3 linked regions of the Xenopus tropicalis genome follow. The protein of the gene in region 1 interacts with the protein of each later gene in a pairwise test. Links are inferred from orthologs where the notes say so. Each region holds a gene or a part of one and is shown in the gene's direction. Other genes may lie near its edges. The genes, in order: ehd3, micall1 and rbsn.

The links.
Region 2: the proteins of ehd3 (region 1) and micall1 interact in binary tests that used the Homo sapiens proteins (3 or more experiments, as listed by UniProt). The link is inferred for Xenopus tropicalis from reciprocal best matches to the Homo sapiens genes EHD3 and MICALL1.
Region 3: the proteins of ehd3 (region 1) and rbsn interact in binary tests that used the Homo sapiens proteins (3 or more experiments, as listed by UniProt). The link is inferred for Xenopus tropicalis from reciprocal best matches to the Homo sapiens genes EHD3 and RBSN.

What each region holds. Positions count from the first base shown.
Region 1 is NC_030681.2:7,392,501-7,396,845, forward strand, and holds the start of ehd3 (EH domain-containing protein 3), read left to right. Parts: upstream 1-1,496; 5' UTR 1,497-1,801; coding exon 1,802-2,028; intron 2,029-4,345. UniProt on the Homo sapiens protein: ATP- and membrane-binding protein that controls membrane reorganization/tubulation upon ATP hydrolysis. In vitro causes tubulation of endocytic membranes. Binding to phosphatidic acid induces its membrane tubulation activity.
Region 2 is NC_030680.2:122,117,146-122,121,524, forward strand, and holds the start of micall1 (MICAL-like protein 1), read left to right. Parts: upstream 1-1,546; 5' UTR 1,547-1,742; intron 1,743-2,069; exon of another isoform or gene 2,070-2,265; intron 2,266-2,590; 5' UTR 2,591-2,594; coding exon 2,595-2,737; intron 2,738-4,379. UniProt on the Homo sapiens protein: Lipid-binding protein with higher affinity for phosphatidic acid, a lipid enriched in recycling endosome membranes. On endosome membranes, acts as a downstream effector of Rab proteins recruiting cytosolic proteins to regulate membrane tubulation.
Region 3 is NC_030680.2:132,268,565-132,272,213, forward strand, and holds part of rbsn (rabenosyn-5), read left to right. Parts: coding exon 1-101; intron 102-1,428; coding exon 1,429-2,493; 3' UTR 2,494-3,649. UniProt on the Homo sapiens protein: Rab4/Rab5 effector protein acting in early endocytic membrane fusion and membrane trafficking of recycling endosomes. Required for endosome fusion either homotypically or with clathrin coated vesicles.

The sequences.
Region 1 (4,345 bases):
CGCAGAATGTCCCTCAGGTTACTGCATGCAGTTAGTGTAACGCTGCTCATCGGCATTTAACGCACTCGCAATTAATGTATTTCTATTTATTCTGCTTTAGTTTACTGTTTCTATACATTTACACAAACAAATCTGATAAAAAATAGAAAAATACAAAATCAGATCATTAAATAGTCAGGTTTTCCCATCTACTATATGGGCACAGAACCCCTCAGTGACTGCTAATATCCTTATCATTTACAGTAGGGGGTACATTATCCCTTATAATACATGAGTGATACTCAGAGTTCCCTGTATAACTCAGCCTGCAGCCTTGTGCCTTTATATGGGGGGCACAGAACCCCTCAGTGACTGCTAATATCCTTATCATTTACAGTAGGGGGTACATTATCCCTTATAATACATGAGTGATACTCAGAGTTCCCTGTATAACTCAGCCTGCAGCCTTGTGCCTTTATATGGGGGGCACAGAACCCCTCAGTGACTGCTAATATCCTTATCATTTACAGTAGGGGGTACATTATCCCTTATAATACATGAGTGATACTCACAGTTCCCTGTATAACTCAGCCTGCAGCCTTGTGCCTTTATATGGGCACAGAACCCCTCAGTGATTTCTAATATCCTTATCATTTACAGTAGGGGGTACATTATCCCTTATAATACATGAGTGATACTCAGAGTTCCCTGTATAACTCAGCCTGCAGCCTTGTGCCTTTATATGGGGGGCACAGAACCCCTCAGTGACTGCTAATATCCTTATCATTTACAGTAGGGGGTACAGTATCCCTTATAATACATGAGTGATACTCAGAGTTCCCTGTATAACTCAGCCTGCAGCCTTGTGCCTTTATATGGGGGGCACAGAACCCCTCAGTGACTGCTAATATCCTTATCATTTACAGTAGGGGGTACATTATCCCTTATAATACATGAGTGATACTCAGAGTTCCCTGTATAACTCAGCCTGCAGCCTTGTGCCTTTATATGGGCACAGAACCCCTCAGGGACTGCTAATATCCTTATCATTTACAGTAGGGGGTACATTATCCCTTATAATACATGAGTGATACTCAGAGTTCCCTGTACAACTCCAGGTATCCTGCTGTGGCAGTGAGAGCTAGGCCAGCCTGACACACAGCCATCAGATGATGAAATTAAAGCTAATGTAATTGTAATTATTGGGCAGATTACCCAGCATGCTGCGGGCCCCCAGACAAACAAACGCCTCATTACCTCAGGGGGTTTATTTATAGGGCCCAGCTATGCAGAGTGCTATTACAGACTCTCTCCTGTAGGTGTCGCCAAGCGAACACTTCCATGGAGATGCCGATCATTTCTCAGATCAGCCCTGTTACACTGCAGTACTGAGGAGCTAAGCCGGCCGCACCTCGTTAGACTTGGCCCCGCCCTCTCCGGCTTCATTCCCATGTTACAGTCGGGACGGCTTGCCAGGAGATGGGCACTTCCGGCTTAGGTCAGTTTCCTGGGAAGCTGGCAGTTAAAATCCAGCTGAGAACAGGGCTGCTGTCTATTTGTGGTTCCTCTTTGCTTGGGATGACATGAGAGGTCTGGGGAAGGCTTATTGCTGCACACAGCTCTGAGGGACACATTTAGCTTTGCACTTGCATGCCCTGCAGGATTGCCCATCAATCAGAGCTGAAAACCAAAGCTGAATAGTAAGAGTGGGGTCCATTGAGGTGGGAATATATATATAAAGGGCAGATTTGACTGCAGATCCCAGGGAATCGCTGGACATCTCTCCCCGCAGAGCGCGTTGCCTTGGCCGTGACAGCCCAACATGTTCAGCTGGCTGGGGACCGACGACCGAAGGAAGAAGGACCCCGAGGTCTTCCAGACGGTCAGCGATGGGCTGAGGAAGCTCTACAAGACCAAGCTGCTGCCCCTGGAAGAATATTACAAATTCCACGAGTTTCATTCGCCGGCGCTGGAGGATGCGGATTTTGATAACAAGCCCATGGTGCTCCTGGTTGGACAGTACTCTACTGGGAAGACCACCTTCATCAGGTATTGGGTTGGTGGGGTCTCAGTGCATGAGTATGAGTGTAAGCGTGACTGTGAGAGGGAGCCCGTATCATGGGACCATGGACTCACTTTGGGGGGAAAGTTGACTTTCTACTGTGACACTGATTCATTTGATAGTGTAGGAATGTCCAGCCTTCAGCTAACGTTAAACTGCTCACTCACCTACACGACAGTTACTCACTGACTTGGCATTGGCTTATAGACTAACTGTATTATCTGGGCTGATGGGCTCCGTTCTCTTAGGCTGATTGGCTCCATTTCCTAGGGCTGATGGGCTCCATTCGCTAGGGCGGGTGGTTTCAGTTCTCTAGGGCTGATGGGCTTTGTTCTCTAGGGCTAATGGGCTCTGTTCTCTAGAGCTGATGTTCCAGTTCTTTGGGGCTGGTTGTTCCAGGTCTTTGGAACTGATGGGCTCTGTTCTCTAGGGCTGATGGACTCCATTCTCTAGGGCTGATGGGCTCTGTTCTCTAGGGCTGATGGACTCCATTCTCTAGGGCTGATGGGCTCTGTTCTCTAGGGCTGATGGACTCCATTCTCTAGGGCTGATGGGCTCTGTTCTCTAGGGCCGTTGGGTTCCAATTTCTAGGGCTAATGGGCTCCGTTCTATCGAGGTAATGGGCTCCATTCTCTAGGGTTGATGGGCTCAGTTCTCTAGGGCTGGTGGTTTCAGCTCTTTGGGGCTGGTGGTTTCAGTTCTTTGGGGCTGGTGGTTTCAGTTCTTTGGGGCTGTTGGTGGTTTCAGTTCTTTGGGGCTGATGGGCTCTGTTCTCTTGGGCTGATGGACTCCATTTTCTAGGTCTGATGGGCTCCATTCTCTAGGGCTGGTGGTTTCAGTTCTCTAGGGCTGAAGGGCTCCATTCTCTAGGGCTGGTGGTTTCAGTTCTGTAGGGCTGATGGGCTCCATTCTCTAGGGTTTATGGGCTCCATTCTCTAGGGCTGATGGGATCCGTTCTCTAGGGTTTATGGGCTCCATTCTCTAAGGCTGATGGGCTCTGTTCTCTAGGGTTTATGGGCTCCATTCTCTAGGGCTGGTGGTTTCAGTTCTGTAGGGCTGATGGGCTCTGCATTCTCGTGCTAACAAAGCTTTATTCTTTAGAACTGATGGATAGAGTTGATAGTCTTCTTAATATAAGGCTAATTGGTAGGGCTAACGGAGCTCCTATCTATTAAGCTAATGGTTTTGCTTATGGACTGGTGTAGCGATGATGAGTAAAATTCTGTAGAACTGCTGGCTGGGGCTGGTGGGCTCACAGCTGTAAGGCTAAATGGTATGACTTACAGGCTCCTTACAATGGGCTTTTTACTGTCATACTGATGGGTAGGGCCGATGGGTTCCCTAATGTGGGCCTGATGGGTAAGGCTGATGGACTAACCATCCATTTGTGCAAAGCACAAGCATATTCTGTGGGTGATGGAAAGGAGGCGTGACGCCCTGTAGAACTTTTGGCTTTGTGGCAGTTGTACACCCTGGCTGTTGCTTTTCCCCCGTAGAACTAACTAAATATACAGTATACTCTGCAAAACATGCATTTTATTGATCCAACATAAAAAAATATATTTGGTGGGGATCTTTGGCATATGAGGGATGCTGGGGGTTGTAGTTCCACAAGAGACACAGGTCGTCCGTGCTATTAGAGCAATTTTATATGGACCAAGTGCCACTTATGGTTCTGTTAGTAATTATCTTAATGTAGTTCTGTAGGGTTCTCAGAGGACTGATGCTCAGAACAAAACACATAATGAAACACTTATAATATATAATGAGTTGGGAAAATGTGCTGAGGGTGCGCTTGGCGTTCATTTACTGCACTGCTGGGAGCTTGAGCGGAGTTTACATCAAGCATCGCATGTATTTCTCATGTTTCTGTACCTGCTGGTTCCATATTTCGTTTTTTGTGTTGGAATCAAATGGGCGGGGCTTTTCCAAAATTCATCATAAATCAGGGATAAAAATTGTCACAAATGTTGGTGGATATCAGTGTCTCCATTAATAATAATGACATGATTACATTTATAGTTACATAGTTACATAGGGTTGAAAAAAGACCAGTGTCCATCAAGTTCAACCCTTCCAAGTAAACCCAGCACCCACAGCCTATACTTACCTATCTATCCACTCACATACATAAACTATATATACAACCAGTAATACTAACTGTAGGTATTAGTATCACAATTGCCTTGGATATTCTGCTTGTTCAAAAACTCATCCAGGCCCCTCTTATAGGCATTAACAGAATCTGCCATTACCCCATCACTAGGAAGGGCATTTATTTTAATTATTACTATAAAATGTTAA
Region 2 (4,379 bases), on another chromosome or scaffold:
TGGGGGGCAGGCACCACTATGTGTATGTGGGGGGCAGGCACCACTATGTGTATGGGGGGGCAGGCTCCACTATGTGTATGTGGGGGGCAGGCTCCACTATGTGTATGTGGGGGGCAGGCACCACTATGTGTATGTGGGGGGCAGGCTCCACTATGTGTATGTGGGGGGCAGGCACCACTATGTGTATGTGGGGGGCAGGCACCACTATGTGTATGTGGGGGGCAGGCACCACTATGTGTATGGGGGGGCAGGCACCACTATGTGTATGGGGGGGCAGGCACCACTATGTGTATGTGGGGGGCAGGCACCACTATGTGTATGGGGGGGGCAGGCTCCACTATGTGTATGGGGGGGCAGGCACCACTATGTGTATGTGGGGGGCAGGCACCACTATGTGTATGTGGGGGGCAGGCTCCACTATGTGTATGGGGGGGCAGGCACCACTATGTGTATGTGGGGGGCAGGCACCACTATGTGTATGTGGGGGGCAGGCACCACTATGTGTATGTGGGGGGCAGGCACCACTATGTGTATGGGGGAGGGGCAGGCTCCACTATGAGTATGGGGGGGGGGCAGGCTCCACTATGAGTATGGGGGGGGCAGGCTCCACTATGTGTATGGGGAGGGGCAGGCTCCACTATGTGTATGTGGGGGGGGCAGGCACCACTATGTGTATGTGGGGGGGGCAGACTCCACTATGTGTATGTGGGGGGGGCAGGCACCACTATGTGTATGTGGGGGGGGCAGGCACCATTTTGTGTATGGGGGGGCAGGCACCACTATGTGTATGTGGGGGGGCAGGCTCCACTATGTGTATGGGGGGGGCAGGCTCCACTATGTGTATGGGGGGGGGCAGGCACCACTATGTGTATGGGGGGGGTCAGGCACCACTATGTGTATGTGGGGCGCAGGCACCACTATGTGTATGTGTGGGGGCAGGCACCACTATGTGTATGTGGGGGGCAGGCACCACTATGTGTATGTGGGGGGCAGGCACCACTATGTGTATGTGGGGGGCAGGCACCACTATGTGTATGTGGGGGGCAGGCACCACTATGTGTATGTGGGGGGCAGGCACCACTATGTGTATGTGGGGGGCAGGCACCACTATGTGTATGGGGGGGCAGGCACCACTATGTGTATGTGGGGGGCAGGCACCACTATGTGTATGGGGGGGGCAGGCACCACTATGTGTATGGGGGGGGGCAGGCACCACTATGTGTATGTGGGGGGCAGGCACCACTATGTGTATGTGGGGGGCAGGCACCACTATGTGTATGTGGGGGGGGGGGGTCACTAATGCAGGAAGGTTGTCGTTGCACTGCAAGCAAAACCAAAATCCCACAGAGTGCTTACAGCCCCCCCTGTCCCTTAGGACTCTCCACTCCAGTATATACACAATATGTGAGTCAGAGCTACCCTTCTGATGCCGGGGTCCCAAGCTAAATGCCCTCTATACCCCGAATCTAGGAGCCACCCCTACTTACATGCTCCCTTCCGAGGGCATTACCCACAGCCGAGCCGGCCAGTACAGCACATCCGCACAGAGGCGGCAGTACAGCCCCTCGCCATTCCCCGCCTCACTGTAGGAGGAGGAGCAGTACATCCAGGCGTAGACACCGACCCACAGACAGGCACCGCCCCGGAGAGCAGAAATCGGGCTGGCAATATTGAGGAAGACCGGGGAGCAGGAGCTGGGAGCCAGGCCGAAGGCTGCCCGACAGAGCCACAGGACACACCAGGTGCCCGAACACTCCAGATCCCCTTACCTAGCGAACCCCATGTCCCCATGCCCTAAAGGCTTCAACCTGCGCTGTGCGCCTCTTGTTGGACTACAGCTCCCAGGATCTCCCCTAGGGAGTAGTATTTATACGGAGAGCTGTTTGTCACAAATCCATGTATTAATGTAGATGTGTATTGCGTTACTTGTTCCTCCAGTGCCCCCCTAACAGCCCCACCCCCGCTAGTCACTAACTTTTCCGTGTCCTCTATTTGCCCCCTCATCCCCAATCGCCTCCCCTTACTAAGAACTGCCCCTTTGCCTTGTGCAGTTGGTCCTTCTTCCATCCCTAGCCTGACATTGCCTTTTATAGTGCCCTGCGGTGCCAGGCTGCATTGTGCCCAGCAGCCTCCTTTACTTTTCCTGTTATGTTATCTCTTTCCTACCTTTACTGTAATGCCTCCCCACACAGCCTGGCACTGGCACAGAATAGAGGCACAAGTATTACAGCAGCTGGGGAGTTATATGCAACATTGGAGAGACTGGTATCCTATGTCTGTTTGTTCCTATTCCTCTGCACCAATGGCCCTTTTCTTTAATTTGCCAATCACTTCTATTGCCCATGTATCTTTTTCAATTATATTGCCATTATTTTACAGTATTCCTTTAGCATGGCACAACCCAGTGGTATCCTTCACTTTGTATCAGGAATAACCAATATAATATAATATAATATAATAACCAATATATGAGTTTCCAACTGGAAGGGAGTTTGTGCTCTCTTCATTTGCTGGGATTGCAGGGAAATGTAGTTCACTAATAGCTGTATGTAAAATTCCATGTTTTAAGTTTTTTCTTCTTTTGTACCAGAATTATGTCGGCCTCACGGAATCTACAGCAGTGGTGCTCCCGGCAGTGTGAGGGTTACCCTGGCATTCTGATCTATGACCTCAGCTCATCTTTTCGGGATGGACTGGCCTTCTGCGCTCTCATTCACCGCCATCGGCCTGATCTCATGTGAGTAAAAAGAACTAACAATTCATTGTGAAAGGGGCATAATATAATATTTTCGCCAGTCACCAGTCAGGTTGTGGGATGTTTCTAAATAGAATGCACCATGATCGTGTGAAACACTGGGGTCATGTTCATAGGACTGGTGAGGGATTGTTGCCTGCAAATACAGTACCTGTGCCCATGGATGTAAAGCTACATAGAACATCTGCACTGCGCACAGGTTTTGCACTTGGGGTGTAACTAAGTTCTGTCCATATTTCATTCCTGAAAAAGGCCTTCTTTGGCTGCACATTTAGGAATTATGTTCCAGCTATTATTTCATTAACATAGGTGCAAACAGATACAGTTTGTTCCTAGCCTTAAGCCACAGTCATCCTATATTAAATTATCATCTTGTTAGAATAGCTGTCCACTGTGTGTAAATTATATGTATATTAGACTAGAAGGTGAGCGTTAAGTTCACACCTACCCCCTAAGGCTGCTGGCTTTGTTCTGACTAATAGGTTATTACTATTGTCCTTTTTTATCTGACCCCTTGCCCCTCTATGTGTGTGTTTACAACCCACCCAAGCCCCAGTGGGAAGTTGCTGACATCTTTTGACCAGGGATGACATTGGCAAATGGGAATCACCAGCTGTGGCAGGCAGATTGGGCAGGGCTGTGTCAGAAGCCCTACACTGCACAGATTTCTCAAAAATCCTTTACAGTTCTCTAGGAAATGTGGGAAATAGTTAGCATTCCCTTATTGTTGAATTATGTCAATGGTTAGGGATTATGGGTGTTTGAGTTTTTCAGTACCTGCAATTTCTGACAGTCGCCTGTCATTATTCTACATGGTTTCCCCAAAGAATAAAACCACAATGCACGTATCTCGACAAATAAGCAAATCTTTGCCCAGTTTGTTGAGTCAAATTAGGCCAGTGATCAGATCACATTTGGGCCATGTCCGGATATCCTAACTTGAAAGGATTTTGTAGATAACCTAATAAATACCTGTCTGAACCCAAGTCAAATATTGGTTGAGCCGTCATTTATGCACTATAAGCCTATAAGCTGCCAACTTGATCAGGATTCTATGTTTTTCTCCCACATTTAAAAAACAAGCTTCTTTAGGCTAAAGTCAGACATGGTGTTTTCTCTACCAGTCAAAGGGTCAGTTAACTATTCACACATTTTGCCCAGAAAACAGTCATGTTTATAGTGACAAGTAGATTCCATTGAATTTAATGGCATGGCGTTATTGATATAATTGCCCCCTGCCAATGGAGAAAAATCCTCCCAAATGAAAAAATTCCATGTCTGACATTAACCATGAAAATATAACATGTTTTGGAGTGTGGGAAGAAATTGGAGTCCTCTGAGGAAACCCACAGTTACATAGGAAAAACAAGCTCCTTGCACAGCTCAGGTCAGGACTAAACTCAGGACCCCAGTACTGCCAAGCTGCAGTGCCAACCACGGAGTCATTGTGCCATCCCAGTTCTCTTTATAGGCTGCGCGCTCATTTTCCCTGCCTATAAATAGGAATTTCTTACTGTCAAGCAGTTTCATTCCTCCGCCTGAAAATCTGATTCATGCTCACAAGGATATGTGGCAATAACAATTGCAATGCTGTCACTACTGTGCCGAAATCAAACATTTCTCC
Region 3 (3,649 bases), on another chromosome or scaffold:
AATTACTGGGCTTAATGTCTTTGCCAACTAAAGAAATATACGAGGAGCTTAAACAGAAGCGGAGGCAAGAGAATGAGCAGAAACTGCAGAGAGAGCGACAGGTAAGTAATCCTATAGTAATCTATCATAGTGCAACTGCTAGCTGTTGCTACCAACATATATCTGCTAGTTCAATTGTATGACGATTCCAGGCCCAGACTGGGATTCAAAACTGGCCTTGGTGTTCACAGAGGCCCAAACTGCGCCCACCAGCCCAATAAATAGTGACTGTCTATGGCATCTTACAGCAGCCCCTCTGGCTTTGGCCAGAACCCATAGATTGCCAGTCTGGGCCTGGGCCATCACCCCCAAACCCCATAAAAGATACTGGAAGTCATAATACTACCTAAATTATTGTGATTAAATAATTGTGGCAACACTAAAGGTCCCCATACATGCTGAGATCCGCTCGCTTGGCGATCTGCACCCGATAACCCCACCTATGGGTGGCTGATATCGGGGAGCTTTTAGGTAAAAAAAAAAATTATTCGATCATTTTGGCCCTGGGGCCAAACGATCGGATTATGTGGGCGGCAATGGGGCAGTCGGTTCGGGGGCCGCATCAACAAGCCGATACGGTCCCCGATCCAACTGGATTTTCTAACCTGGCCGATTGATATCTGGCCAATTTCAGGCCAGATATCGGTCAGCCAGGCCCCTCGGTTCTGCCGCTACACGGGCTGATAAGCTGCCGAATGGGTCCAAGGGACCGATATCGGCAGCTATAATCGGCCCGTGTATGGGGACCTTTAGCCATGTGACAGACCCTTTTAACCTACAAGGGCAAGTATAGAGAGAAGAAGGCTTTACGTTTACGTCAAGTGCAATTATAAGTACAATCTGCTTTTTTTCCCACATTCCAACATTTTTTCTTGATTTCTGGTATCATTGCAGATCCAAATGGGCGATTCTATTGATGAAGTTGATGTAGCGGCACATGTGCTTTTGTCAAATCAGGCACAGTCTATTTTCTAAATCCGACTGGCCATTGGTCAGGGTTCGCTGGCATCATTTCTGGTGTTTGGCATGCGAGTGACATGTGTGCCCTATTATTGCTGCACATGCCCTTTGGCAAAAAGACCACAAAGGGAACCCTGGAGCTACTGCCTGATAAGAAGGTTGCAGTAGCTCCAGGGTTCCCTGCCTCAATAGGCGCAGCAGTGTCTGATTTGGAATAGAAGGCAGGAAGGATTGAGCATTCTGACCCAAGCACCATTAACAAAAGTGGTGATACATGCAGCTCTCTGTCTGGAAAAGTGCAAGCTGCAGTTTTAGAGTTTAGAGCTCTAAATTCTACACTTGGCTAAATCCATGGCAGAAGGACATGTTATTTTTGTGAGTGTCTGGAGGAAGTTTCTTTCAGCAGCTTCTCTGTATTTTCTTTTGCAGGCTGAAGCACAGAAGGCCGGTGATGACAAGAAAAGGGATGTACGCAATGGTGGTCTGTCTCCGAGTGGTCAGATTCGCAAAGTTGAGGGCTGGCTTCCGACATCCGGACACCCTCGAAACAGAGAGATGTCAGACCCCCTTCTCCAGCAGATTGAAAACATCACATCGTACATCCGGCAAGCCAAAGATGCTGGGCGAGTGGACGAGGTGCAGATGCTGGAGGATAACCTTAGACAACTGCAGGAGGAGTACGACGAGCAGCAGGTGGAAACAGCCATCCAGATGTCCAAGGTTCTGGCTGAGGAGGAGGCCATGCAGAGGGAGCAGCTGGAAGTGCTGAGGAAAAGAGAGGTGAAACGCGAGCAACTCAAAGGCTTAGCTCAACACAACAGAACTCATTCATTGGATTTTAGAGAGCAGGGACAGCCAATGGGGTGGCAGGAAAAACAGACAGCAGCTCTGGACCTACAATTTCCCAAACGTGACCTCAACGAATCCCTTCCATCCCAGCGTGTTACTGAAAGCAAACTGGATGTGGAGGACTACCATGTACTTCCAAATCACTCCATGACCACAACCCCTGTTTTGCCCAAAGTGGAGAAGAGTAAAGTTACACCCTCTAACCCTTTCGAAGATGAGGATGATGAACCAGCACCTTTGCTTCCTCTCCACACACATCACAATGGTAGGAAGGAGTATAATCCCTTTGACGAGAATGATGAGAATGGCTTGGATAGTAAGGAAGAGGATAATAAACATTTAACAGCCCCTGCCTCAAGCAATCCCTTTGAATGCTCCACAGACAGTAATAGCGCATCAGGTATTTCCCAGAATCCCTTTGAAACTGATGAGGATCAGATCCCAGGAAACCCATTTGAGGACAGTGAGGAGACCCAGGATGAAGAGGTCATAGAAGAAGATCTGCTGCTGCAACAGATTGATAACATCAAGGCGTACATCTTTGATGCCAAGCACAGTGGCCGGCTGGATGAAGTAGAGGTTCTAACTGAGAATCTGCGAGAACTGAAGAAGACACTTGCCAAACAGAAGGAGCAAATTAAATAACACAGAGTGGTGAGAAAAACACCTCCATGGGGCCGAACAGCGGGTCATGCTCAGAGTTCTGGATCATTTAAAACCTTTGCAGTCCTGGGCACTTGTAGCACCAAAAGGGTTATGTGGTCAAGATTGTGGCTTTTCAGTGCCCATTCAGTTTTCATTGTCACATATAGGCTTCCAATTTGTTTCTTTTCAGTAGGCAGTAAAGTATTGCAGCTTGGTTTGTTACATGATTTCATTGGTTACATCCACTTTTACATATGAATGGGAGCTGCCAATATGCTTGTCCCAGCATCTGTCCTCAGCTGAAAGCAGCAATCTGACAGCTACCATGTCTGTGTAATATATACAGAGATAGAATGATCTTTGCAAACAGTATGGGAAGATAAATGCAAAGTCACTTATAAATAGGGTATACCACCCTTTAAAGGGCATTATACCATTAGGAGTAAGTGGTTATTATTTTCTCAGTCATCCAATGCATTGCTTCATGCTGTGATGTGTATGTGATTGATTGGGAGGGCCATGCTGCCATGAAAAACTCTAAATATCAGCCTTGGCCCCTTGTATCATATCAGCTTAAAAAAGGGCTGTAGCCTAGACCAATGTTTCTGTAAAAAATACTTTTATGCCTATACATATGTTTTCCATTAATAAGGTTAGATCTCAGAGCCACAGTCTGTCCTTATTCCTTTGTGTAAGTATAACATAGTAAATTCACACAGTGGGTCCAGTTTTAAAGTGGACATATACCCAACCCATGTGACTAGATATGGATGTAAAACCAATTTAATTTTTGTTGTTGGTTGGGGATAGTTGCCCTTTAACAAACCCATTAACAAGTGTTCATGAAAGGAGCTCATAAAACGCTATTGGTCCCAGTTAACACTAACTATGGACAACATATGTTTAAAAGGTAAAAAGGAAATAGTGGTTTTAGTACAGGGTCAGGATCTGTAATTATTTAGCACTTCAGGGCCAGTTTCAAGGGAAAGGACTGGCACGACAGAGACCATATTTTCTTATCCTTTTACCTGTCATTGATCCAGGGCTCTGCCTCATGGTATGATAACGTTGGCCACTTTATTTAATTGAATTGGCCATCACTCCGTAAATGGGCTGAAAGCTAAGAATGGAGTCCCACCTGTGAATGTGTGACCTG